Linked DNA regions of Ovis aries. The protein of the gene in region 2 binds, or shares a complex with, the protein of the main gene of each other region. Links are inferred from orthologs where the notes say so. Each region holds a gene or a part of one and is shown on either strand. Other genes may lie near its edges. The genes, in order: NEDD4L, SMAD7, SMURF2 and SMURF1.

Region 1 (5,255 bases), about 8.9 Mb from region 2:
ATAGATGTGGCTAAATAAAATCTAGCCATATGTGTTTAATCTCTTCCATGTTGGATGAAAATACAAAATACACAGTGAAGCGTCAAGATTAAAACCTGATTTACTAGGAGAGCGAGGGCTTGGCGGAGCTGGTTCTTTGACATATAATTGTGGCATATCTAGCATGAAGCGGCTTCTTTCCTTTGTTCTATCAAAGGTCACTGCTCATATAGTTAAAATTCCTCTTTACTAAGCAGCACAGACCCACCTAAAAATAATCTCCTTCAGCCCACACATCTTCCAAACAAGGCTTACCCCCTGAGGGTAAGAAGGCCGTGCAGCTGGTTGGTGGCAGGCCAGAGCCAGACCTTCTCCTGACATCAGAAAAAATGGCAACGCTGAGCACTCACTGTGCTCCAGGCATCGCCCTTACAAGCGCCGTGTGTGTGAACCTGTGACACCGTCACAGCAGTTCTAAGAGGCAGGTCCTGAGAGTCCCCTCTAAGCAGTGGAGCAACTGACGCCCTGAGAGCTGACAACATCCCAAACCTCAGCTCTTCACACTCCCCTCATCATGCCAGTATTTCTCAAGCTTGAATAATCTATGGACCTTCTTTAAAATGGCCACAGACTCTTGAAGCCCCTCAGGATTGCAGGCCCTGGACTGTGAAATACCAGCTTAAAATCAAGACAACAGCTGCCTCCTGGTAAAAGGCTCTTTTAAGTGTAGCTGCAGAGTGGGGTTTTGTCTTTGTCGCTGGTGAAATGACATTGGAGGTCGTTATCACGGTGAAAACCAAACGTTGAAAACTTCTTTCCATCTTAATCTTTCAGGATTCCTGAGCCCTCTGGTTTGGGAGGCACAGTGTTCTGCTCTGCTGTGTATTTTGATGTTAAAAAATCTCAGAGCTCAGTGTGTCTTATCAAATACTCAGTGGTTGTTAAAGGGCCCACCCTGCTCATGCGTCCGGGTCTTACTGCTGACAATGATTGGCTTTAAAACACAGGAAGATGCTCTGCTCATCCTTGGAAACCTATGCCAGTGCCGAGAGCGCGCAGTCTTAGACACTGAGGCAGCCTGACCATATCCGGGCCTTGGAGCCAGCCTGGGGCTGAATCTGGGCTCTCCCACTTACTGGGTGACCTTGGGCAAGTTCCCTAACCTCTCTGTGCCTTGGGTTCCTCTACAAGTAGGGATGCGGCATCACCTACCTTACAGGTGGGCGCCAGGATTCGCTGAGGGGATCAAGGAACAGCACCCTGGTGGCAACAGCTGGTGAAGACTCCACCTGCCACACAGGAGACGCAGGTCCAGTTCCTGGGAGGGGAAGATCGCTGGAGAAGGCACAGGCTCCCCGCTCCAGTATTCTTGGGCTTCCCTGGTGGCTCAGCTGGTGAAGACTCCACCTGCGGTGCAGGAGACCTGGATCCAGTTCCTGGGAGCGGAAGATCCGCTGGAGAAGGGACAGGCTCCCCGCTCCAGTATTCCTGGGCTTCCCTGGTGGCTCAGCTGGTGAAGACTCCACCTGCAGTGCAGGGTTCAGTTCCTGGGCGGGGAAGATCCCCTGGAGAAGGGAAAGGCAACCCACTCCAGTATTCTGGCCTGGAGAATGCCATGGACTGTCTAGTCCATGGGGTCGCAGAGAGTCAGACACAGCTGAGCGACTTGCACTCACTCAGCACTAACAGTGCTGGCGCGGGGCAAATGCTCCACAAATGTCAGCTTATGAAAGCATAATGAGCTAAGGCGTGCACGTGTGTGTGCACGCATGCACACATGTGCTAACAAGCCACAAGCGCATGTAGCCATTGTCACGACAGAGGCCTGCCAGCAGCCCGCCTCCCTGGTCTGTGTCTGGGGCTCCAGGTCCCTGTTCCTGGGGCGTGAGGGGTGCGTGGGGGGGGGTGGTGCAGGGACCGGCGAGTGAGTGGTGACAGTGGTGTCTGCCCGTGGGCGCTCACTGTGTGCCAGACCCCTTTATGTGTGTGATCGGACCCTCCCAGCACCTGACCCTGCGGCAGTCTCCCCACGTCACAGAAGAGCCAACAGAGAGGGAAGTGACTGGCCTGAGATCACCCGGCTGGCAGGTGGCAGAGACAGGATCTGAACTCCGTCCTGTGAACACGTGTGATCATTGCTCACAGAGGCCCCGTGTGTCTGGAGGTCTCACCGTCACCAGGGTGACTTGTACCCCCCCGGCCAAGGCCTCCAGCTGTGGAGGGGTTTTGTGTAAAGGCAGCTCTTCACGCCGACGCCAGTGACTTGCCTGCCTCTGGGTAGAGGGCCGCTCCACGTCGGGGCCCCAGAGCCACGGGGGCCTGGGTTCCGGTCTCAGGTCTGCGGTGTGGTCAGGGCTGAGGCTGGGACACGGCGACCTGCCGCCCGGCTGCAGGGCCCGCATCTGCAAAACGGGGAAACATCACCCTCTCAAAGGGGCTGTGCTGAAAACTGGCGCTGCGTGCAGAAGCGCTGGCTTCCTAAAATAGTGTCAGATGAGGGAGAGCATCAGAGAGCCTCCTTTTGCCCTGCTGCGGAAAGCCCTTGGGTTTCCAGCTTGGAAGCCTCAGCGTGTGCACCAGTTACCTTGCCTGTTCTCTTCCCTTCCCAGCACGCGCTTCTAGGGTGCACGTCCGACTGTAGTAGAGAGGTTTCACAGACGATTCGGAAATCCTTTTCTCGTCCCCTGCAGGTGTGTGGTGTGGGCAGGGTCATCACTGGATTATAATTTTTGTGCCGAGGCTTTTACAATCCTCCCGCTCAAACACACCACGTGCGCTCTTAAGCCAGATCGAGGAGACCCGGGTGTAGCTCACAGACAGAAATGCTGGTGTTTTACCTCCGCTTTGTTGTTACTTTTGCAGCTTTAATCGCCTTGACTTACCTCCGTATGAAACCTTCGAAGATTTACGAGAGAAGCTTCTCATGGCTGTGGAAAATGCCCAGGGATTCGAGGGGGTGGATTAAGTGCCCCCTGCCTCAGGGCGGTTGTTCTTCGAGCAAGTCCTGCTTGCACTTTTGCATTTGCCTGACAGACTCTGCAGAGACGCTGGCAGAGAGCAGCGCGGCGAGGGGTCCCGGAGAGCGGAGCCCCTGCCCCCGACTTGCCCACGGCCGACAGGGAGACCCCGTCCCGGGTCGCGTTCCTGCATTTCCCACCACCAATTTCCAACTGGTTGATGTGTATACTGATTACATTTCAGGAGGACTTATTCTATTTATGTTGTGCCTCTGTAGGCCAAGCCCTTAATAAATATTTTCCATACTTTATAATGACAGCGAATGGAATTAATCACTCTACAGGTATAGTATTACAACTCATGTTTACTTTTTAAAATGATTTAGGCCGATTTGCAGATTTTATTTCACAATTAAAGATGTCTCATGTACTTGGAAAAGTGAGCATATTTTTTTTTTTTGTATTTGAATTTCATACCAGGTTTAATGTCGGTGATGTTTTTATTTTTAAAGTACTTGGAAAGCCCCACCCCCTACAGGATTAGCTATGGAAGACTGACTTCTGTCCAGAATCCTTCTGCAGACAAATACTCTTAACATTAGCCATCATGACAGTTTTTTCCATGCTCAGAATGAAAACTGGATATTACATTTTTTTGTTCAAATTTAGCGTAATAGCTGCAGACTGAGAGAATTGTAACATAGCATGACAAAATTTGTGTTGACTTGAAGGAATCACACCATTATTCCTTAGAAGTAACTACGTGTGCTGGAGCACGTTTGAGGCAGGGTTGGACTATGACTTCTCGAAGAGAAGCTACTTAACCCTTCCCGATGCTGTACAGCCCTCCTGTCATATTCTCCTCCTCGCTGTTGTAGTCGAGACGCTCGAATGGAACTTGGCACCGAGTGACGGGAGAGCAGGCCTGTGCAACCTCCTGCCTGTGCGCGTTTGCGAACAGTAGCTGAACACGCAACTTCTGTTCTAACTGCACCAGTTCTGAAGGCACTTTATGTACCACATGGAGGTCATGCCTGGTTTTGTTTTGGTTTTGTTTTTTAATCATAGCATTGAATGTGATTTCTTCTCTCTGCACACGCCTTTCCGGTGCAGTATCTATCGGTTGTGAATCTGGCTGCTGGTGTCTAAACCCTGGCTGTAAAGCTGAGCCTGGAGGCCTGTCCTCACCAAGCGTTTTGTGATTTCTACTCCACTGCAAAGATTACTAGACAATCTAACCAGGTTTTGTTCCCGATGACCTGTTGCATGCTTCCATACCGTGCTCTGCCCGCGCTGTATCCGTCGCGTGCTAGATTAAAAGGGTGGAGAGACCTGATTTGGCATCCGGATGTCTGGCTCTCCAGCTGACCCTGCGGGGGGTGGAGAGCTCTGCGGGATTCGTGTTTGTGGCCACTCTCGAGTCCTCGCTGCAGAACTGTGTTTTGAGGGGACGCCTGAGGCAGGGCTAGGGGGTCTAGCAGACCCTTCTGTCCTTCTTAACCTGTGTTGTCCTAAGCCCTGTGGCGGCCGTCCAGGGAAACTGGATAGATTGCTTGCCAGTTGTGGATGAGACCAAAAGAACTGTGGTTTCAGGGCCTCCACTTAGGATCTTCTGGGTGGCTTGTGGGAAGCCTCGAGTGTTTGTGGTTGAGCTGTTTAAAGGGGCTACAGAGCCCTTGGCATCTAAAAGGTGGAGTTCTACAGAGCTGAGGGTTGTTCCCTTCTCACGTTGATTTTTAAAAATCCAATAATGATCAAAAAACTTAGATGTTGAGTAATTAGGAAAAAAAAAACAATATTGCTCATTATTTTTACCTCTTGGTGGGATTTTCTCCCTTCAGTTGATATAACAAGTATCTTCTTCTCTTAGCCCCTCGGCTTGCTTTTTATGATTCATCTCAAAGCCTGGGAGAGCAGTGTGCTGGGATGGGTTTTATAAGTGTGTAATTATAGGGAAGAAATCCAACAATCCTTGTCGAAGAACTGGGATTCTTCTGTCATTTCATAAATTCTTAAATCAGAATATTCACTGAATGCAAATTAGGCAAAGTACTGAAAATACGCAAGAAAACCCATTCTAAGATCATTTCTGTGCCAAGAACAGATAAGAATTATTGAAATAGACCCCCGTGAATACTTGGAAGGCGGTAATTGTGAATGACAATTCAGTTCATCTCTCCCTTATTATCTGATTTCAGTGACAGCTCGAAAGTGCTGGGTTTAGAGTTTGTTTGGGGGTTTTGGCTTCCTTGAATCCAAATAAGCTTTCCCAGTTCTCAGCAACTCTCCGTGTTCCACTCTTTGTCTAAAACGGTCACG
Region 2 (5,975 bases):
GGTTATGGAGTGCAAATACAAGAAAAGGAACAAAATGGAAAGCATACCTAAGAAACATCTTTGCAAAAAGAAAGATATATTTGTATACACACACACACATTACCTCCAGCTCCAGTCACAACAGAAAAAGAAAAAAAAAATCCACTAAATTGCCAACAGAGGAAACCTATAACCACCTCAGGGCAAGTCCAGAGTCTCCCGAAGCCGCTGCCTAGACACACAAATCCGCGTTCTACAGCCTCCATTTCTAACTTAAGACAGGAAGGATATTTTTAAAATCAGCTACTCACCAGTTGGTTTGAGAAAATCCATCGGGTATCTGGAGTAAGGAGGAGGGGGAGACTCTGGAATTAAAAAAGAAAGAGAAAATAAAGGCTGAGCCCTGAGAGAGAGATAGAAACTTATGATAACAGAGGCATTCTTTTAGCCCAACTGTTTGTCTTAGCTGTGGGGGTTGGAGGCAGGGCCGCGAGGCGGTGATTGCCTTGATATTTAGCTGTCAGATAAACAAAAGAGGCCGCCTGGCGCCAGCCTCGGCGCGGCGCTCCTCCACGTCTGCGGCCGCCGCCGCCGCGCTCGGCCGGCCCGGCTGCAAACCGCCGGCTCGGCCGCCGCACGTCGCAGTTCACGGGGCGGGGGGCGACGAAGCCCCCCGCCTCACTTCGCGTCCCAGAACTTCAGACCCTGCTCCCTCCGCCCCCCGCCCCGACCCGTCCCCCCGGGGCGCAGTTCATCTCCGCCACCGCCGCTGCGCCCCGCACCCGCGCGGGGATCACGGGCTTCCCCCTTGCCCAGCTCCCTCGGAAGGTGCACCCCAAGGGCGCTGGGGAACTTGGATCGGTGGGCGCCCTAGGTGCACCCCGCCTCCGCACGAAGAGGCAGAGAAAAGGGATGCAAAGGAGAAGGCTGAGAGCATAAAGGAGAAGGGCCCCGGGGTCTCAACGGAGGAGCCCGGGGCCCAACTCAGTAGTCTGGGGGCAAACCATCCGACGGTCGGTTACACTGCTCTCTCTCCTGCGCTGAAGAAAGTAGGGGACACCCAACTTCCCCTGACTGCCTGTTTTCTCTCACCCCGGGCTGGCGGAGCTGGGAGCAGGTACACAGCTCGGCCTCCTATCCTGCTCTCTCTGCCTCAAAACCCAAATCTGCGCCGGCCAGGGCAGGCTTCCTGGCCCCTTGCGCCCGACGTGACGCTCCCCCTTCCTTCCTAAAGGGGAGCCTTCCTCTCCAGCCTTTACTACCGCTTCTCCGAGCCTTCCTTGGCGGGCTTGGATCGAATCCAAATCGGCCACACACCTCAACGCCGCTCTCCGTGCGGGGGAGGCGTGACCCCCCCACACACACACACACTTCTCTCTGCACCCCCTTGGCTGATCCGGAAATAACCCCATGTCTGCAGAATACGGGCATGAATGAGTAGGGCCCAGGGGCAACCCCCCCCCCGCCCTTGGGGCCACCGAGGAGAGAAAACTGGAAGGGAACCCCGAGGGAATGCCTTTCCAGTTTCCTCGGGTCCCTTCTCTACCTTTGTCCCCCAAATCTCCTCCCAGGAGGGAATGTACACACATCCCTCCGGCGAGGTGGCTGCACTAACCCACAGCCCAATCGGGCTTTTCTTCCCCACACCTGAGTGCCGGGAGAAAGGGGGGGCACGGGCGGGTGGGCGTGGATCAACTTCTTACCTAGTTCGCAGAGTCGGCTAAGGTGATGGGGGTTGCAGCACACCAGCTCGGGGTTGATCTTCCCGTAAGATTCACAGCAACACAGCCTCTTGACTTCCGAGGAATGCCTGAGATCCGGCCACCTGAACACTTTGCACAGCAGGAGGGGGAGCGAGTAGGTGGAGGGCGGCTGCGCCGGCTGTGAGCCGGCGGGCGCCCCCAGGCCCAGCCTGCAGTCCAAGCGGCCGGGCAGCAAGAGGCACGCGGTGCGCGTACCGCCGCGGGACTCCACGGCCTGGAGCAGCAGCTCCAGCTGCCGTTCCTTCAGTTTCTTGAGCACCGAGTGCGTGAGCGCTTTCAGATCCGCCTCGCCACCCCCGGCCGCGCCGGCGCCCGCGGCTGGGGGGTGGGGATGGTGGTGACCTTTGGCACCTCGCACCGCCTTGCCCAGGCAGCAGACAGCCCTGCCTGCGCCGCCGCCGCCGCCGGCCCCATGCGCCCGGCCGTCCGTCGCCCCTTCTCCCCGCAGCTCGCCTCCTCCTCCGCCTCCCCCCGCGCCCTCCTCCTCGTCCTCGCCGCCGGGCGCACGGCTCCTCCAGAGACGCCGGACGAGCGCAGATCGTTTGGTCCTGAACATGCGGGGCGAGGAGGCGAGGAGAAAAGTCGTTGGCCGGCTAAGGAGCGAACATGACCTCCGCACACCATGAAGAAGTCGGGCGCCGAGTTGGGGCAGCAGGCGCAGGCGACAGCAGCAGCAGCAGGGGCCCTGGCAGGAGCGGCGGCGGCCCGAGGGGCGCTCCGTGGCATGCGCCAGTCTCCCGGAGGCCGGAGCGCGCGCGGGGGCCCGGGGGCGCCCGCCGGGGCTCGGGGGCCTGCGCTCTGGCTGCCCCACCCCGCGCGGCCCGCGCCGTGCGCCGCTCGCGGGCCCCGGCGCACCCCGGAGGAACGCGGCCGCCGCTTCCCCGGGGGCGGCGAAGCCTACCCGGGTCGGCGCCTCCCCAAAAAGAGGCCCCCCCGCAGTGGCTCCCGAGTGTCGGGCTCGCCAGCCTCGGCTGCCTACATGGAAGATCCGCGGCGGCAAAAAACGAAAGGCGTTCGGCAGGGCTGCTGGAGGGAGGAAAAAGCCTCTTTCCCCCTTGCTAAGCAACTTAATTTGGGGGTGGGGAGAAGCAATTAAAAAAAAAAAGCAGGCACGCGATTTATTTTTTTCCTCTATATCCTTAGTAACCGGATCTCCTTGAATTCCGTGCACACGAAGACTCGGGGGAGGGGGCTGAGTGGACTTCACCCCACATGAGATGTCTGGCGAAATAAGGAGGCTCTCAAAATCTAAGAACCAAACATGCAAAGCCCCAAATGAAAAACACCACCTCCTCGCACCCCGGAGGTCTGGGGGCGTCCGGCTGGAGCTGGGGTTTAAAAAAAGAAAATGTTTACAAAGTAGAACGAGACGTTTCAGGGGTGGAAAAAAAACGTATCCACGAGTTACATCCCCCTTTTTTCCTTGCAGAGCCCCGCTGGTCTTCCTCTCCTTTTCTTCTGCCAAGGAAAAAAAAAATCCTATATATATATTTTTTAATCCACAGAAAGCTTTGGCTAGGCTGCTTCAATCCTTCGCATCTGGGTGGTTTAGGGGAGTCTCTGGCCTTTCCTCTTGCGCTCCCGGGGGCCCCGGTCGTCGGCGGGGACTTCCTTGGGGCTGGCGGGGGCGCAGGGGCAGAAGATGCTGCGGCGGCGGCGGCTGCGCCCCGCGGGGCTGACAGCGCGGGGGAGGGCGGCGCGGCGGCCGCGGCGGGCCCCTGGCGGGCGGCGCGCTCTCGCCCTCTGCTCTCTAGCGCGGGGGCCACCGGCGCCCCCTCCCCGGGTTGCGGCTGGCCGCCGGGGCTCCCCGTAAAAGGCTGCTCGCCCCGACTCGGCTGCGGCGACTGGAGGCCCCGGTTGTCCCTCACGCCGCCTTCTCCGAGAGACTCTCCTCGTCGCGGCCGGGAGCCTCCTTGTCCCCCCGTCCGCCCTCTCCTGGCACTCGGGTCCTTCTGCCGCCGCCCGGGGTTCGCCGCGCCGCACTCAGGGGCTCCTGGGCCGGGCGCTCGGCAGCTCGGCGCCGGCGGGCTGGCTCTCGTCTCGGGCAGCTCTCTCCGGCGCGGCGAGCGGACCGAGCACGGCGCCCGGCTGGCTCGGCTGGCGCGGCTCGGGGACAGGCTCCTCCGTGCGCGGAGCAGGCGAGCGAGTGTGCCCGGGGCTCGCCGCCTCCCGCAAGGCCTCCCGCCCCCGCCCCCTTCCCTCCCCCTTCCTCCCCCTTCCCTCCCCCGCCCCCCAGCCGCCGCCGCCTCCTCCCCGCCCCCCCCCCCCCCCCCCGGGCCCTCTGCTCTGCTGGTTCCACTGCGCAGTGGCGCGCCCGGCTCCGGCCTCGTCACGTGGCCGTCTAGACACCCTGTCGCTTTAAAAAAAAAAAAAGCGATTGTGTTTCGCAAACAACAGATCGGGTTTCTAAAAGCTATTTCTCCCCCCCCCCCACCCCGCTCACCAAATCCCCGCCACCGCCACCCGCCTGGGTCTGCAGAGGGGGGACCGATATGGGGCGGGAGCGGGGGTGGATAAAGGTGGGGAGCAGAGAAGCTCCCGGGGTTGACGGAGACCTGGCGAAATCAGAGGAGAAATGGGAAGACCCAAGAGCACCGATCGGGCACCGCCGGCGAGTTTTGGAGCGAAGCGAGCGGGCCGGTGGCCGGATTTAGACCCAGCCCGCGGAGCCTCGCGGGGGCTGTCCCGCGCGCGCTCGCTCTAACGCTTCATTCATTCGTTTTGTTTTAAAGGCCCTGGCGACGGATCCCCTGGCCGCCGCGCGGGAGGGAAGGGGGAGGAGAGCGCTGTCTCCGCGTAAAAGACATTTACACCGGACTGGACCGAGGCCCTGGGAAGTGCGCGCTGGAGGGAACAGCCGGCCCGCGAGGGCGGGGAGGCGGCGCGAATGTGACCTCAGCGGCGGCCGCGCGCTCCCTCCCGCCCTCTCCCGCTCGGGGCTCGGGTTTCTAGGACTGCCTGGAGAAGTGTGTCTTGTGCAAAGCTCTGGAATGCATTTGGCTGCCTGACGAGTTGCGAGGGGCAGCATCTTGGCGGGAGGTGGCGGGGGTGTGTGTGGGGGTGCTCGCCCGCCCGCCGCGGGCAGGTTTCCTCCGGAGCCCGGAAGACCTCCGCCACTCCGCCTCCCGGCGCGGGAAGGTTACCTTCCGAGGAGACCTGCATGCATATGCATGCGGGGCCTGTTTCTTCCCCTCCTCGGCCCCGTAGCTTTCTGTGGCGCTTAGAGTCAGTGAGTTTATCCCCTTACCCCAGGCCATAGAGAAAGCGTAGACCCACCTGGCCGACTGGTGCATAGACACGCTAAGGCGTTGATGGGGCAAAGCACCAGATAGCGTTTACTTCGTGAAAGCTGTTGGTGCTGAGAAGCGTCATGATTTAAATATATAAGCGTTAGTATCGACGAGGCCACTAGTTGGCATGGTGGTCTAACCTCACATCTTATTCAATGAAATAATAAATATATTTTTTTAAGTCATTTAGAATTGTGAGGTCAGGATGACAATCAAACTCACTGGGGATTTTAATGACTTTTTTTTTTTTAATGAATCTTTTAAAAAAGGTGAAATGAACTGTTTTCATTTTCTCAGCTAAATTATGCCCCTTTTAAAGGAAAAGGCACCAAAAAAGGGAAAACGTAATAAAAGGAAAAGGCACTGATGAACCTCAACTCAGCCCCTTCCCTTCCAGCAACTTAAAAGCCATCTACATGCTATAGATGCTTAATAACTATTTAGGAACCAACAGAGTTGGATAGGTATTTCCACCTTCTCCCCCTACCCCAACCCACCAAGAGCACCTTTGGAGATATATTATGTGGTAATATAATATTATATAATATATAAGGGAGAAAATCATTATCATCTCTAAGCAAGGGGCCCTGAAGCTCATTGACCTAGAAGAGCCAGAAATGCCAAGCAGGGCAGAAAGGTGTACAACAGGGCAGCAGCTGGGATTCTAAACATTTACTTTGTAAGCCACATAGCTGCAATTGTATAAGATCATAGTTTAGTTACAGTTAAAAATAGTGCTGGGCTTCCCTGGTGGTCCAGTGGCTAAGACTCCATGCCTCAATGCAGGAGGCCTACGATCGATCCCTACCCAGGGAACTGGATCCAACATGCCTCAACTAAGAGTTTGCTTGCCAGGATTGAAAGATCCCACGTGCAGGATCTAACACCCAGTGCATAAATATTTTTTTTAATATATTGCTTATTGAAAAGGGCATTGAAACCT
Region 3 (5,255 bases), on a different chromosome or scaffold from region 2:
AGTTTCCTCTGCAGTAATAAGGCAGTAATATCTGTTTCATTATATCCTCTGAAAGCAACCAATAGTGCATGGGCATTCAAGAAATTGTGTTGAGTAAGTGGTACAGTCTGTTTAAAGTTGGACCAAAGTACAAAATATATGAACGCACTGTCACAGAGCTCTGCTTGGCATCTGATGCAGGCTCAGTATAAGTGATGTGTCAAAATCACTTTGATCCGATTAATACACCTCCTTAGGGGCCAAGACAGAGTCATCTTACTAACCTGTGTATAACACTGACTTATGATAGTGTGTAGTACAGAACATAATTTAACCTGCAAATCCCATAGTTTACAATTAATTATAATAACCCAGGATAACACTAAAATAAATTTTATATATATATACATATTTCTTCTGAAAAGCTTACTTTCATTAGCAGTAGAAATTATATAATAAACGCTAACATTATTGAATAAAATCTGCAACAGAGCTTCTACAGGGTTCTGAAAAATAATCACAGCTACATGAACAGGTAAGTGGTTATCCAAACAGAATTACAGAAGTACTTATAATAGCGACTCTACCTCTCAAAATTCCTTTCTTCAGAGGAGTGGTAACTTTAAGGCCAAGTTCCTTATTTATTATATGAACACAAAAAAATGCATCGTATTTCAACCTTATTGTCATTTCTGCTGTGTCTCACTCCTCCTCCTACTTCCTTCTGGCCATTTCACTATGAACAGCTCAGTCACGAAAAGAGTGGGGGTGGTATTGAGTCAAACCAATCTTTTTAGGTTTGTCTAACAGATCTGTTAACAGATTTAGTTAGAAAGGACACTAAAGTTAATTAATAAAATCATGTTTTAAATTATGGATAGACATCCAATATTTATGCTATCCCTAGGCACTAATTAAATTTTGGGACCTCAAGCAGAATAAAATCTCATTACTTTTCAAAGCAGTTCAGTAGCAATTCAGATGTATTTGTTAAAAGTCTTAATTATAAAACTAAACCTATGGTGCTTTAAGGACTAGCTTTAAAATAAAACAATGGTTAACTGGTTATTAAAGTCTGTATTAGTAATGAAAATTTCCAAGGAGACTGAAGATGTTCAGATAGTGTGGAAAGTCGCTCAGTCATGTCCAGTTCTTTGCAACCCCATGGACGGTACTCCATGGAATTCTCCAGGCCAGAACACTGGAGTGGTTAGCCTTTCCCTTCTCCAGGGGATCTTCCCAATCCAGGGATCGAACCTAGGTCTCCTGCATTGCAGGTGGGTTCTTGTTTAGATAGAGATGATCCTGAATGTTCCCTCTAGGTTTTTGTCTATCAACTGCTTTCTTGTAAAGCTTAACGTAAATCCACTTGGGTCTAGGTTTTTATTCCAAATAAACTGCACTATGGTGGAGACCAACTGATAAAGTTTCACTTAACTAAATCAAGAGCCATTTAATTAAAGAATAGGAAATAACACTGGGAGAATATACACAAAATACACAAATCTGTTAAAAGAACAGAAAATAAGGAAAAATAAAGGATAGTCACAATATAAGAGACTACTTGCAGAATTTCCAAAACATGAACGGCTTTTCCTATGAGTCAGAATTCTCACAGCAACACGTAGAAAAACTTCAAAAGCACCAGAAATACAACTCCTCTAAAACTAAGTAACAGAAACCTCTCAACCGTGCTTTGTTATATAGATGACGTCATGATACTCATACACTGACCTCTAACTCCTTCTCATCAAATGTCTTCAGCAGATGCTGTGGAATTACTTCATTGAATCCTTTCTGCAGGGCCAAGAATTGTGCTTCAATGCCTCGTAAAAATCTCCAGTTCACGTAAAGCCTGGAAACATTGGACAGGGGTTTTGTATGATGAAATGTATTCAGATTTGGTAATTACTATGAATCTCTAGTACATTAGCAACACTGCACTTCACAAGTATCTGGCATTAAGAATTTAGTCTAAAATCTAAAAGAATCTCATATTACCGAAGGGAGATGGATCCTCAGCAGGGAGGCAGTTCAGCATAAATTATAAGCAGTATAAATTAAAAAACAGTAACCTTCCACTAACAAAAGCAGCATCGCTACAGCAACTCTTCACTTCAGAAAAACTCCTATTAAACTGGAAGTTGGCTGGAGAGCAGATGGGTCTGAAGTTAAAATCTAAATGAAATTATTTTCTTAGCTTCTAGCATGCATGCCAATAACCAGAAAAAAAAAAGCCCATTCAACCGAAAATGACTTTTTCTGATTTCACTTGAAAATACAATCTGAACATGTTGGGTGTTTTCTTTATATTTTGTGTGTTGTATATGGGGGAAGGGGGAGTGAAGAGAATCCTCATATCCAAAACGAGAAGAAACAGTAAAAGCCACTAGGCCAGCACTTTCTGACCACTCGTTTTCCCCTATAGGCTTTAAAAGCCCTGGGAGATGTAATTTAGCAACAAAGTTCACAAAACTCCATCGCATGTGTAGCTGTACTCGCGGCTTTGTTTGGACTTACACTTTCTACATGAATTGTTTGTTTTTTTTTTTAATCTATCTTCCCGGGAAAACGTACCTCACAAACCTCAGAACTACTCAAACTCCCAATTTGTCAGGATTTCCTTTCCCAAACTTCGGAGAAATAATTCTCTAAGAAATGAGTTACTTAATATTAACTGTATCCCTTGGGGGACCTCATTTTTCCTTGTTTAAGGGCACATCAAAACTGCATACCTGTAAAAAGTTTTTCTTTGTAATTTTTAAAATTTCAAAACTATCTGATAAGGGATAATCGGTGGTAGTCGTGTCAGACTCTCTTGCCACCCCCTGGGCTGCAGCCCGCCAGGTTCCTCTGTGCATGAGATTCCCCGGGCTTCCTTCTCCAGGGGACCTGACCCGGAGACTGAACCCACGTCTCCTGCGCTGCAGGTAGATTTTTTACCATGGAGCCATCTGGGAAGCCCCAAGGAATAATTACTGTGTGCTATAAACAAGACTGGATCCTGGAGAGAGCAGTCTACTCTAGATCCTGGGAGTGACACTACTGACCTTCAGGAAATCCCCATTCACTCTTCTTTATTATTTTATTTTTTAATTGTTATATATGTGTGTGTGTATTTTGGGGGGGGGTGGGGGCCACACTGCTTGACATGCGTAATCTTAGTTACCCATCCAGAGATCAAACTTCAAACCCATGCCCCCTGCCGTGGAAGCATGGAGTGCTAACCACTGGACCATGGGGAAGTTCCTCATTAAGTTACAAATGTGTTTGTTATTAAAAGAGAAGTCATAATTTAAAACTCAACCATTAAATGTGGAGACAGAGTAAAACCCGAAAGTCCCCTCTCTTACCCTCTTTCGTCTCTACTTCCAGGCCTATCACTTCCACTCCCCTACCCTAGGCAACATTTTATTGGGTAAGGGGTCTTCCTGAACATCTTCTGTATGAGAATAAAACAATACAGACTTTGTTCCAAGACATGCTTTTTAAGTGACAGCTTATGCAGAATCTCTTTTTTAAAATAGCCACACAATATTCTGTTATATTCATCATCCTCTTCTACAAACATTTTGCAGTTTTCAGGTTTAAACAGCCTTGTATTTCTTTAATTACAAATGTGTTTCCAAACAATAGATCCCTAAGAATGGAGCTGCATATGCATTTTCATTTTGGCAGGTGTTTTCAAATTGTTTTCCAACAAAGCTCTACCAGTGTTCACAGGCTACGAGACTGATGGGCCTCATCCATAAACCAAAACATTTCAGCCAGTAAGACCTGAGGACATATTCTGTGCAAAAAAGGACAGCAAGCACACTTCTGTGTACATATGGTGAAGTTCACACTCCTAAATTCAATCATAGTTTAATGCTTAGAAAAACTTTATATACCATGAGCCAAATGATCTCACTTAATACTTCTAGATTCCTCAATCAACAGGTGATTTTGTAAAACCTGAACATTTTCTTGATTTTTTTAACAAGAAATATAGTACTTCTTATATAATCTATATTTCTTTAATAAATATTTCTACTATATTTATATTTAATATATATCAAATATATTTCTATTTTCATAAATTAGATTTCTATTGAAAACATGTATTTCTTATATAAACCCACAACATCTTTGTTTATAAGTAGGATTAAGTCCTAGTAATATAGCACAAAAGTGCTTCTGCACAGCTAGCTGTGGGAGCTCCACCACACATGACATGGCAAACCGTGTTTCCTGAAATTAGTGCCTTTGTACAGCCCCTCTTTCAACTGAACCTGGGCTGGTGTGCAACTCGCTTTAACCAAAAGAATACAGCAGAGGTGATGTTGGCCAATTCCAGCCTTGGGACTTTAAAAGATCCCACAACTCCTCCTCCTGTGCTCTGGGAAACCAGCCATCCGATAAGAAGTCTGGCTACCGTGCTGAAGAGCCAGGCCTCTGAGACCACATGGGATAACCAAGGAGCCCAGCCAACAGTGAGAACCAGGTGCCAGATGGTGACCCAGTGTCCACTCCAGGCAGCACCCAGCCAGCCAAGCCACCCCAGGTGAAACATCAGACATGTGAGTGAAGAGGCCATCGGAACATTTCCGCCCCAGCTGACACCACGCGGAGGAGCAGTGTGCTATCCCTGTCGTCCTCGATCCAAGTAACTGACCCACGAGACCATGAAAAATAATAAAATGGTGGTTGTTTTTAAGCCACTTAATTCTGCAGAAGCCTATTCTGTGGCAGTAAGTAACATTATCTAAGCATCAATGTTTTTCTGTACCATTCTAGAACATTAAAACAAGTCTCAGGCTTAAGAAGATACAAGTGTTTACCTGACATATTCTTTTTTATTTTCTTCAGTAACAGGGATGCTCTTGCCATTTGGTTTAAGTTCATGCTGAATGATTTCACCATAGGCATTATGTTCGACACAGAAGGTGTGGTCCAAAACACCTGTGGTATCATTCTCGCTAGAAAGGAAGAACAGGGAAAGACACGTGACTAGAAAATCTAAAATTCAGATCTCGGAGATATAGTAATTGGTGAGACAAATAAAACTAAAGTAGTTTTACGACATGACAAACACAGGAACATCTGACCCGATGTTCTTTTCACTAGTTCTTAGGCCACCGTTCCTCCTAGGGGCAGAAAAGTCAAAGAGCTTTAACCTTCATAAACCCTGGGAACATTTTATTGAGCAAAGAGGAAGCCCTGGAAAGCTGGGTTTTACACAAGGAAACCTCAGTTCTGTTTGGCTTTCAGGTAAGAAGTTTTACCAGAATCTCGGT
Region 4 (5,255 bases), on a different chromosome or scaffold from region 2:
TGTAGGCACATAGACTAGGTCATGGCTGTGGCGAGGATCAAATTTAATCCTTTCCTGCTTTGGAGTCTCAGTGTCTTCAGTTCTTCTGTCGTTGGCTTTGCAACTGTGCACGATGTGTTTCCGCCTTTATTTTTCTGTTGTCCACGAGAGACACTGTCTCTTGGCCTCTCTTTTTCATAAGAGAAGGATATCGATGCTCCTGACTTTCCCTTCCTTCCACTTGTTACCTCTTGCATTCCAGTATCTGTAGTATAACTTTTACAGAGTCAAGGCCAAAGATTTACATTTTGTTCTGTAACCAAAATTAAGTCAGTCTCCTGTGCCTATGTATTATTTGTAAGAGTCGAAAGTCAATACATTGTTTTATATTATTATGAAAGTGTAAATATTGTTTCCTGAGGGATTAAGTGGTATGCTATCATTTATTTTATCCTTTTGAGCAAATTTTAATTTTTCTAAGAATTTCTTCTTTTAAACCAGGTCTTGTCTTTGTTGCTCCATTGAATATCGCCTTTGGCCAATTCCCCCCTCCCATCCTCTCTTGTGGAGGCCCTGTCCCCTGACACGGTTTCTTCAGACCTTCTGCATAGCTGTCTTCGTGGGACATCACTGCTTTCTTGGGTTGGAGCCATTGTTGTGTGGGTCTCACGGCTACTTATTCCTTGGCTTACTCCCTTGTGTTATTGGGGTATATCCTCAAGTAGGTTTCTTAGAAAGGGTGTGTGTGGGGTTAATTTTCCAAGATCTTAGGTCTGAAAATGTCTTATAATCTTTGCTTTGATAGCTTGGCTTCTTATAGACTTCTAGAAAGAAAATCATTTTCAGTCAGAACTCTGAATTTGCTCTCCCGGGTCACTGTCTGATGCGAGTCTGGTTTCAGTCACTTTTGTGCCGTTTGTCCCCATCCGGGAACACCCGTCATCCATAGATGCTGTACCTTTTTCCCGTTTTTCTCTCCCACTCCTGTCTTCAAGGCCTCCTTGCCCGTATCCACCGTCCTGCTCACTCCTCCCACCCCCTCCTCACTTCCTTGCTCCTCTTTCGGCTTGCTGTCACTCACTGGCAGAACCCCAGTTCTGAAGCATCCCATCCCCTCTCTGACAAGGTTACGAGTCAGAGAATCACCAGTGACTGCGAACCTCAACTCTGGTAGGTGCTGCAAGGGGCCTGGTTAACATGCAGTCGTGTGTGACAGTGGTCCCATCTTGGGGGTCATGGGACGGGAGAGCCTCCCACCCTCACAGTTTAGAATACACAAGCAGATTCTCACCCCTGCAGCAGTCAGCACCAGCAAAATTAGGTTCTGAGAAGTGATATGGGGGTCTCACTACGTCTCTGGGTGAAGTTGGGATCTTTTCCAGCTGCCAAAAGTAAGTAAATGGGGCCGGGAACAGAATTGGTCCTCCAGCCTCTTCCCATCGTGTCCGCCTCTCTCCCCTCCTGCCCCTCCGTCTGGGATACAGGTTGAGCCCGGGCCTTCCTGACCACATGCTCACACTGCAACTGCCTCTCCTCGGGAGGTGCTTTTTCTTTCCCGATCGTCCCAGGTTTCTTCTTTGATCTTCTCCATATTGATTCTAGAAAGCATCTTTCTTCTGGCAAATGTAACTTTCGTCTGCCCTGAAAACATGAGTCCCATTCCTAACAAGACAAGGGCTCTAGGCTTTCCGTCCCTCTCTTCAGGGAGACTTCTGTTTCCTCGTTCATGTTTGTCCGAAATTCATGCCACACTACTTCCATTCTCTCTCCTCTGCCTTTTTCTTTCTAGTCTCGGGATGTCTCAAGAGTCAGTATCTTGAATGGTTTCACTTTACATTGTTCCGTGTATAGCTGGGTGAAGTTTGATTTGGAAGGAGTTCGCTTTCTCTACTGTTTTCCATGGTTATGAAGTCTTGCAGGTGGAGATGAGTGTTGGTGTAGCTGCCTTGATGAACATGGTGCTGCAGGGAAAGAGCTGAGAAGCCCTGCTTTTCTGCCGCTAGTCTGATCTCCCACTTTTTCAGCTCTCGAGTCTTCCCCGTGTCTGAATGGTCCATACCTGTCGCGGAGGGCTGAGATGTCAGTTACCTGTGTGTTACACGTGCGTGTATGTCTGCTTCTTTGCCCTGCCTCTGGGTCTGAACCTTTATCCTCTCTCTCTCTCTTCTGACTCTGGGGATAGCGCTTCCTTGACCACTTCTGGAACTTTTCTCGTGCTCTATACCTCGTCCACAGCTCAGTCGGAATGTTTGCTTGTATTTTAATCACTTCCTGTCTAGACAGTTGCAGGTCCTTGGCGTTTATGAAAATAATTCTTTGTAAATCCAAACTCTGAAACTTGGGGCTGAACGAAGCTCGAGTTGGGAAGTCCTGCCTTCCTAATAAAGAGGCTTCCTAAGGCTCGGCGTCTCGTTTCTGACAGTTCCTTCCTGTTGGAGTTCGATATGTCACTTTGTGTTGGTGTGATCATTTTGTGGGTATTTCCACGCGCTTCTCCGACAGATTATCTGCATTTGGGCTTATCCTTCCATATTTTCTCACTTCTGTGTTTTTCTATTTCAAAGAGTAAGAAATTTTAGAACTTAATAAGATTCGTCTATTTAAAGAAGTTTTGAGTAGAAAGAAGACAGGGTTACACACGTGTTTATATAAGACTGCATACCTGGGTTTACCAAACCTGACCACAGCAACTGAGTCACGTTTTCTGTTTAGAGTGCTTTTTTTTTGTTTGGTTTTAATTTGGGCCTTTTAAAAATTAAAATATTTATTTGGCTCTGTGGGTCTTGGTTTCTGCACATGGGGGTCTGTGATCTTTCATCATGGCATGTGAACTCTGAGTTTCATCACGTGGGATATAGTCTCCTGACCAGGGACTGAGCCCGGGCCCCTGCATCGGGAGTACGGATTCTTAGCCATTGGACCACCAGGGAAGTTCCATTGTCACCTGAGATTTTGCCTCTACAAAGTAGCAGAGAAAACCTTCCCTGGGGAAAGGCAGGCTGACAGACACCGTGCCTCTGAGCTGGTGATGATTCCCAGCAGCCAGAGATAGTTCTCAACTTCGGAGTTGCTGAAATTTTGATTTTCTGGTACCGCTAGAAGCAGTTGTTTCCTTCTTGAAGCCTATTTGCCCAGTCCGTACCAATCACCTTTTCTCAGAGCCAGGCAGCCTTATGAGTTTGGCTTCCAAGGGCATGGTCCATCAGTCCCGTGATGAAGATCTAAAACTAGGGGGTTTTAACATGTCTTCTTGTTGTTGTGCTTTCTAGGGAGTGGCTTTATTTACTGTGCCATGAAATGTTGAATCCGTACTATGGACTCTTCCAGTACTCCACAGACAACATTTACATGTTGCAAATCAACCCAGATTCTTCAATCAACCCTGTAAGTATTAATGAATATGGAGGTCAGAAATTAAGTTGGAGAATTTAAGTGGCTTTCCAGTTTCAACCTCAATTCTTGGTTTATTCATTGTAGACCTACTCAAAGTCTGTGGCAAATAAAATATGGAAAGGTAGACTGACAGCGGGATCAGGGATGGATGGTTTCCACCCCTTCTCTTCAGTGACTGGGGTCACTGAGTATGTTGTTTCAAAGACAACGAGTGAAACTGAGCTGCTCGTGGACTCAAAGCATTTTACTGCCATTTGAGGGAACTCTGGCTTGATGGCTGTATTTGTTGATAGTGTCATTCTGAGAAGTGGGGTACGAGGTCCGTCCTCCGCCCAGCCAGAACTGGAATATTCCCTTCTGTAACTGGCCTTTTTGGCCAGCGTGCTGATACTCTTAGCTGCTCGTCATAGCAATGAGGAAATAGGAGCAGAATGTGGCCGAGGGGTGGCCCACAGCGAGCGGAGGGCTCTGCTGCGGGGTCACGTCCTGTGGTCCCCACCGTGCACGTGGCTCTGAGGGGCAGTCAGTGCGACTTTCACCAGTGTGGACACTCTGTAATTCCAACCTAAGAGTAGAAACGGGGGTTCCCTGGTTACAAACCACAACAGCACTGGTTTTGGGTTGTGTGCCCCGCTCAGTCCCTTCTCTGGATTTTTCTCTCTTCTGCTTTCCTGTGGGATGGGGGAGGGATGGCAGAGGAAGAAGGGGGCTGCCTTTCGCCTTTATTTGCTCGTGGCACGCCGGGAGGAGAGGCCGGCGGCCTCCTGGGTGTGCCAGCACCAGGCGCTGCGCTGAGAAGGGGCAGCTCGTGGTTGACGCTTTGCCTTCGTCATGTTGAAATTCTCCGTTTCTGAATAAGAGGTTCTGCATTTTCATTTTGCACTGGGCCCCATAAATTCAATAGCAGTTTGGAGAAGGTATTTGAACCAAGGGCACATGAAGTGTCATTCAGATGACCTCTCCAGAGTCCTGCTCTCATGTGACCTTTGACCAGGTGGGTCCTGAGCGCAGCCTGTGAATCACTGATTCAGCTTCCTGCCTGTGGGACGGGTCTCCTGAGAAGCCTGGAGAAACACCCCTGTCCACCCGGCCGGTCAGCTTCCTAACACTTAGTGTTCTCTGCTGCCCCCTGCAGGACCACTTGTCTTACTTCCATTTTGTGGGTCGGATCATGGGTCTGGCTGTGTTCCACGGACACTACATCAATGGGGGTTTCACGGTTCCTTTCTACAAGCAGCTACTGGGGAAGCCCATCCAGCTTTCTGATTTGGAATCGGTGGACCCTGAACTCCATAAGAGCTTAGTGTGGATTCTGTAAGTACCGACTCAGGGAACTGAAAATTCACGCGTCACCTGTCTTAGGGTGCACCAGACCCATGGCTGTGAGACTGCAGGAGAGAAGCAAACCCCCAGAGACAGAGAAGCTGGTCTGAGGAAAATATCTAATTGACTTACGACCTCCTACACTGTTTGACCAGCTACTCTTCAGGGACCAGTTTCTTTTGTTGTTTCCTTGAATTATTAGGTTACAATTGTGGCTGTTAATCCCCAGGCCTGGTGGTTTGTTTTTTTTAACACTCTGAGGTGTCTCATGGTCTCTAGAGTGACCAAGTGAAATGAAGTGAAAGTCACTCAGTCTTATTTGACTTTTTGCGACCCCATGGGCTGTATAGACCATGGAATTCTCCAGTCCAGAATACTGGATGGGGTATCCTTTCCCTTCTCCGGGGGATCTTCCCAATCCAGAGATCGAACCCAGGTCTCCTGCATTGCAGGTGGATTCTTTACCAGCTGAGCCACCAGGGAAGCCCCTAGAGGGACCAGGAAGTTATCAAAAAAGTCCTGATATTCAGTCGCCTTTGTTTTAAGATTATCCTAAAACT

Evidence for each region.
Region 1: the proteins of SMAD7 (region 2) and NEDD4L are in contact, whole or in part, in an NMR structure (PDB 2LTY), measured with the Homo sapiens proteins. The link is inferred for Ovis aries from reciprocal best matches to the Homo sapiens genes SMAD7 and NEDD4L. Residues at the interface, in NP_005895.1 of Homo sapiens: Glu203, Glu205, Ser206, Pro207, Pro208, Pro209, Tyr211, Ser212, Arg213, Tyr214, Pro215, Asp217; in NP_001138439.1 of Homo sapiens: Arg394, Asp396, Lys398, Arg400, Tyr402, Val404, Asn405, His406, Arg409, Thr410, Thr411, Thr412, Trp413.
Region 3: the proteins of SMAD7 (region 2) and SMURF2 are in contact, whole or in part, in an NMR structure (PDB 2LTZ), measured with the Homo sapiens proteins. The link is inferred for Ovis aries from reciprocal best matches to the Homo sapiens genes SMAD7 and SMURF2. Residues at the interface, in NP_005895.1 of Homo sapiens: Glu203, Leu204, Glu205, Ser206, Pro207, Pro208, Pro209, Tyr211, Ser212, Arg213, Tyr214, Pro215, Met216, Asp217; in NP_073576.1 of Homo sapiens: Glu304, Arg306, Asn307, Thr308, Ala309, Thr310, Arg312, Tyr314, Val316, Asp317, His318, Arg321, Thr322, Thr323, Gln324, Phe325, Thr326.
Region 4: the proteins of SMAD7 (region 2) and SMURF1 are in contact, whole or in part, in an NMR structure (PDB 2LTX), measured with the Homo sapiens proteins. The link is inferred for Ovis aries from reciprocal best matches to the Homo sapiens genes SMAD7 and SMURF1. Residues at the interface, in NP_005895.1 of Homo sapiens: Glu203, Glu205, Ser206, Pro207, Pro208, Pro209, Pro210, Tyr211, Ser212, Arg213, Tyr214, Pro215, Asp217; in NP_065162.1 of Homo sapiens: Glu313, Arg315, Ser316, Thr317, Arg321, Tyr323, Val325, Asp326, His327, Arg330, Thr331, Thr332, Phe334, Thr335.

Annotation. Positions count from the first base shown.
Region 1 is NC_056076.1:57,868,109-57,873,363, forward strand, and holds part of NEDD4L (E3 ubiquitin-protein ligase NEDD4-like), read left to right. Parts: exon of another isoform or gene 1-2,841; coding exon 2,842-2,944; 3' UTR 2,945-5,255. UniProt on the Homo sapiens protein: E3 ubiquitin-protein ligase that mediates the polyubiquitination of lysine and cysteine residues on target proteins and is thereby implicated in the regulation of various signaling pathways including autophagy, innate immunity or DNA repair.
Region 2 is NC_056076.1:48,950,778-48,956,752, forward strand, and holds the start of SMAD7 (mothers against decapentaplegic homolog 7), read right to left. Parts: upstream 3,893-5,975; 5' UTR 2,299-3,892; coding exon 1,683-2,298; intron 345-1,682; coding exon 291-344; intron 1-290. UniProt on the Homo sapiens protein: Antagonist of signaling by TGF-beta (transforming growth factor) type 1 receptor superfamily members; has been shown to inhibit TGF-beta (Transforming growth factor) and activin signaling by associating with their receptors thus preventing SMAD2 access.
Region 3 is NC_056064.1:48,460,893-48,466,147, forward strand, and holds part of SMURF2 (E3 ubiquitin-protein ligase SMURF2), read right to left. Parts: intron 4,938-5,255; coding exon 4,800-4,937; intron 1,835-4,799; coding exon 1,714-1,834; intron 1-1,713. UniProt on the Homo sapiens protein: E3 ubiquitin-protein ligase which accepts ubiquitin from an E2 ubiquitin-conjugating enzyme in the form of a thioester and then directly transfers the ubiquitin to targeted substrates.
Region 4 is NC_056077.1:37,683,057-37,688,311, forward strand, and holds part of SMURF1 (E3 ubiquitin-protein ligase SMURF1), read left to right. Parts: intron 1-3,248; coding exon 3,249-3,363; intron 3,364-4,507; coding exon 4,508-4,686; intron 4,687-5,255. UniProt on the Homo sapiens protein: E3 ubiquitin-protein ligase that acts as a negative regulator of BMP signaling pathway. Mediates ubiquitination and degradation of SMAD1 and SMAD5, 2 receptor-regulated SMADs specific for the BMP pathway.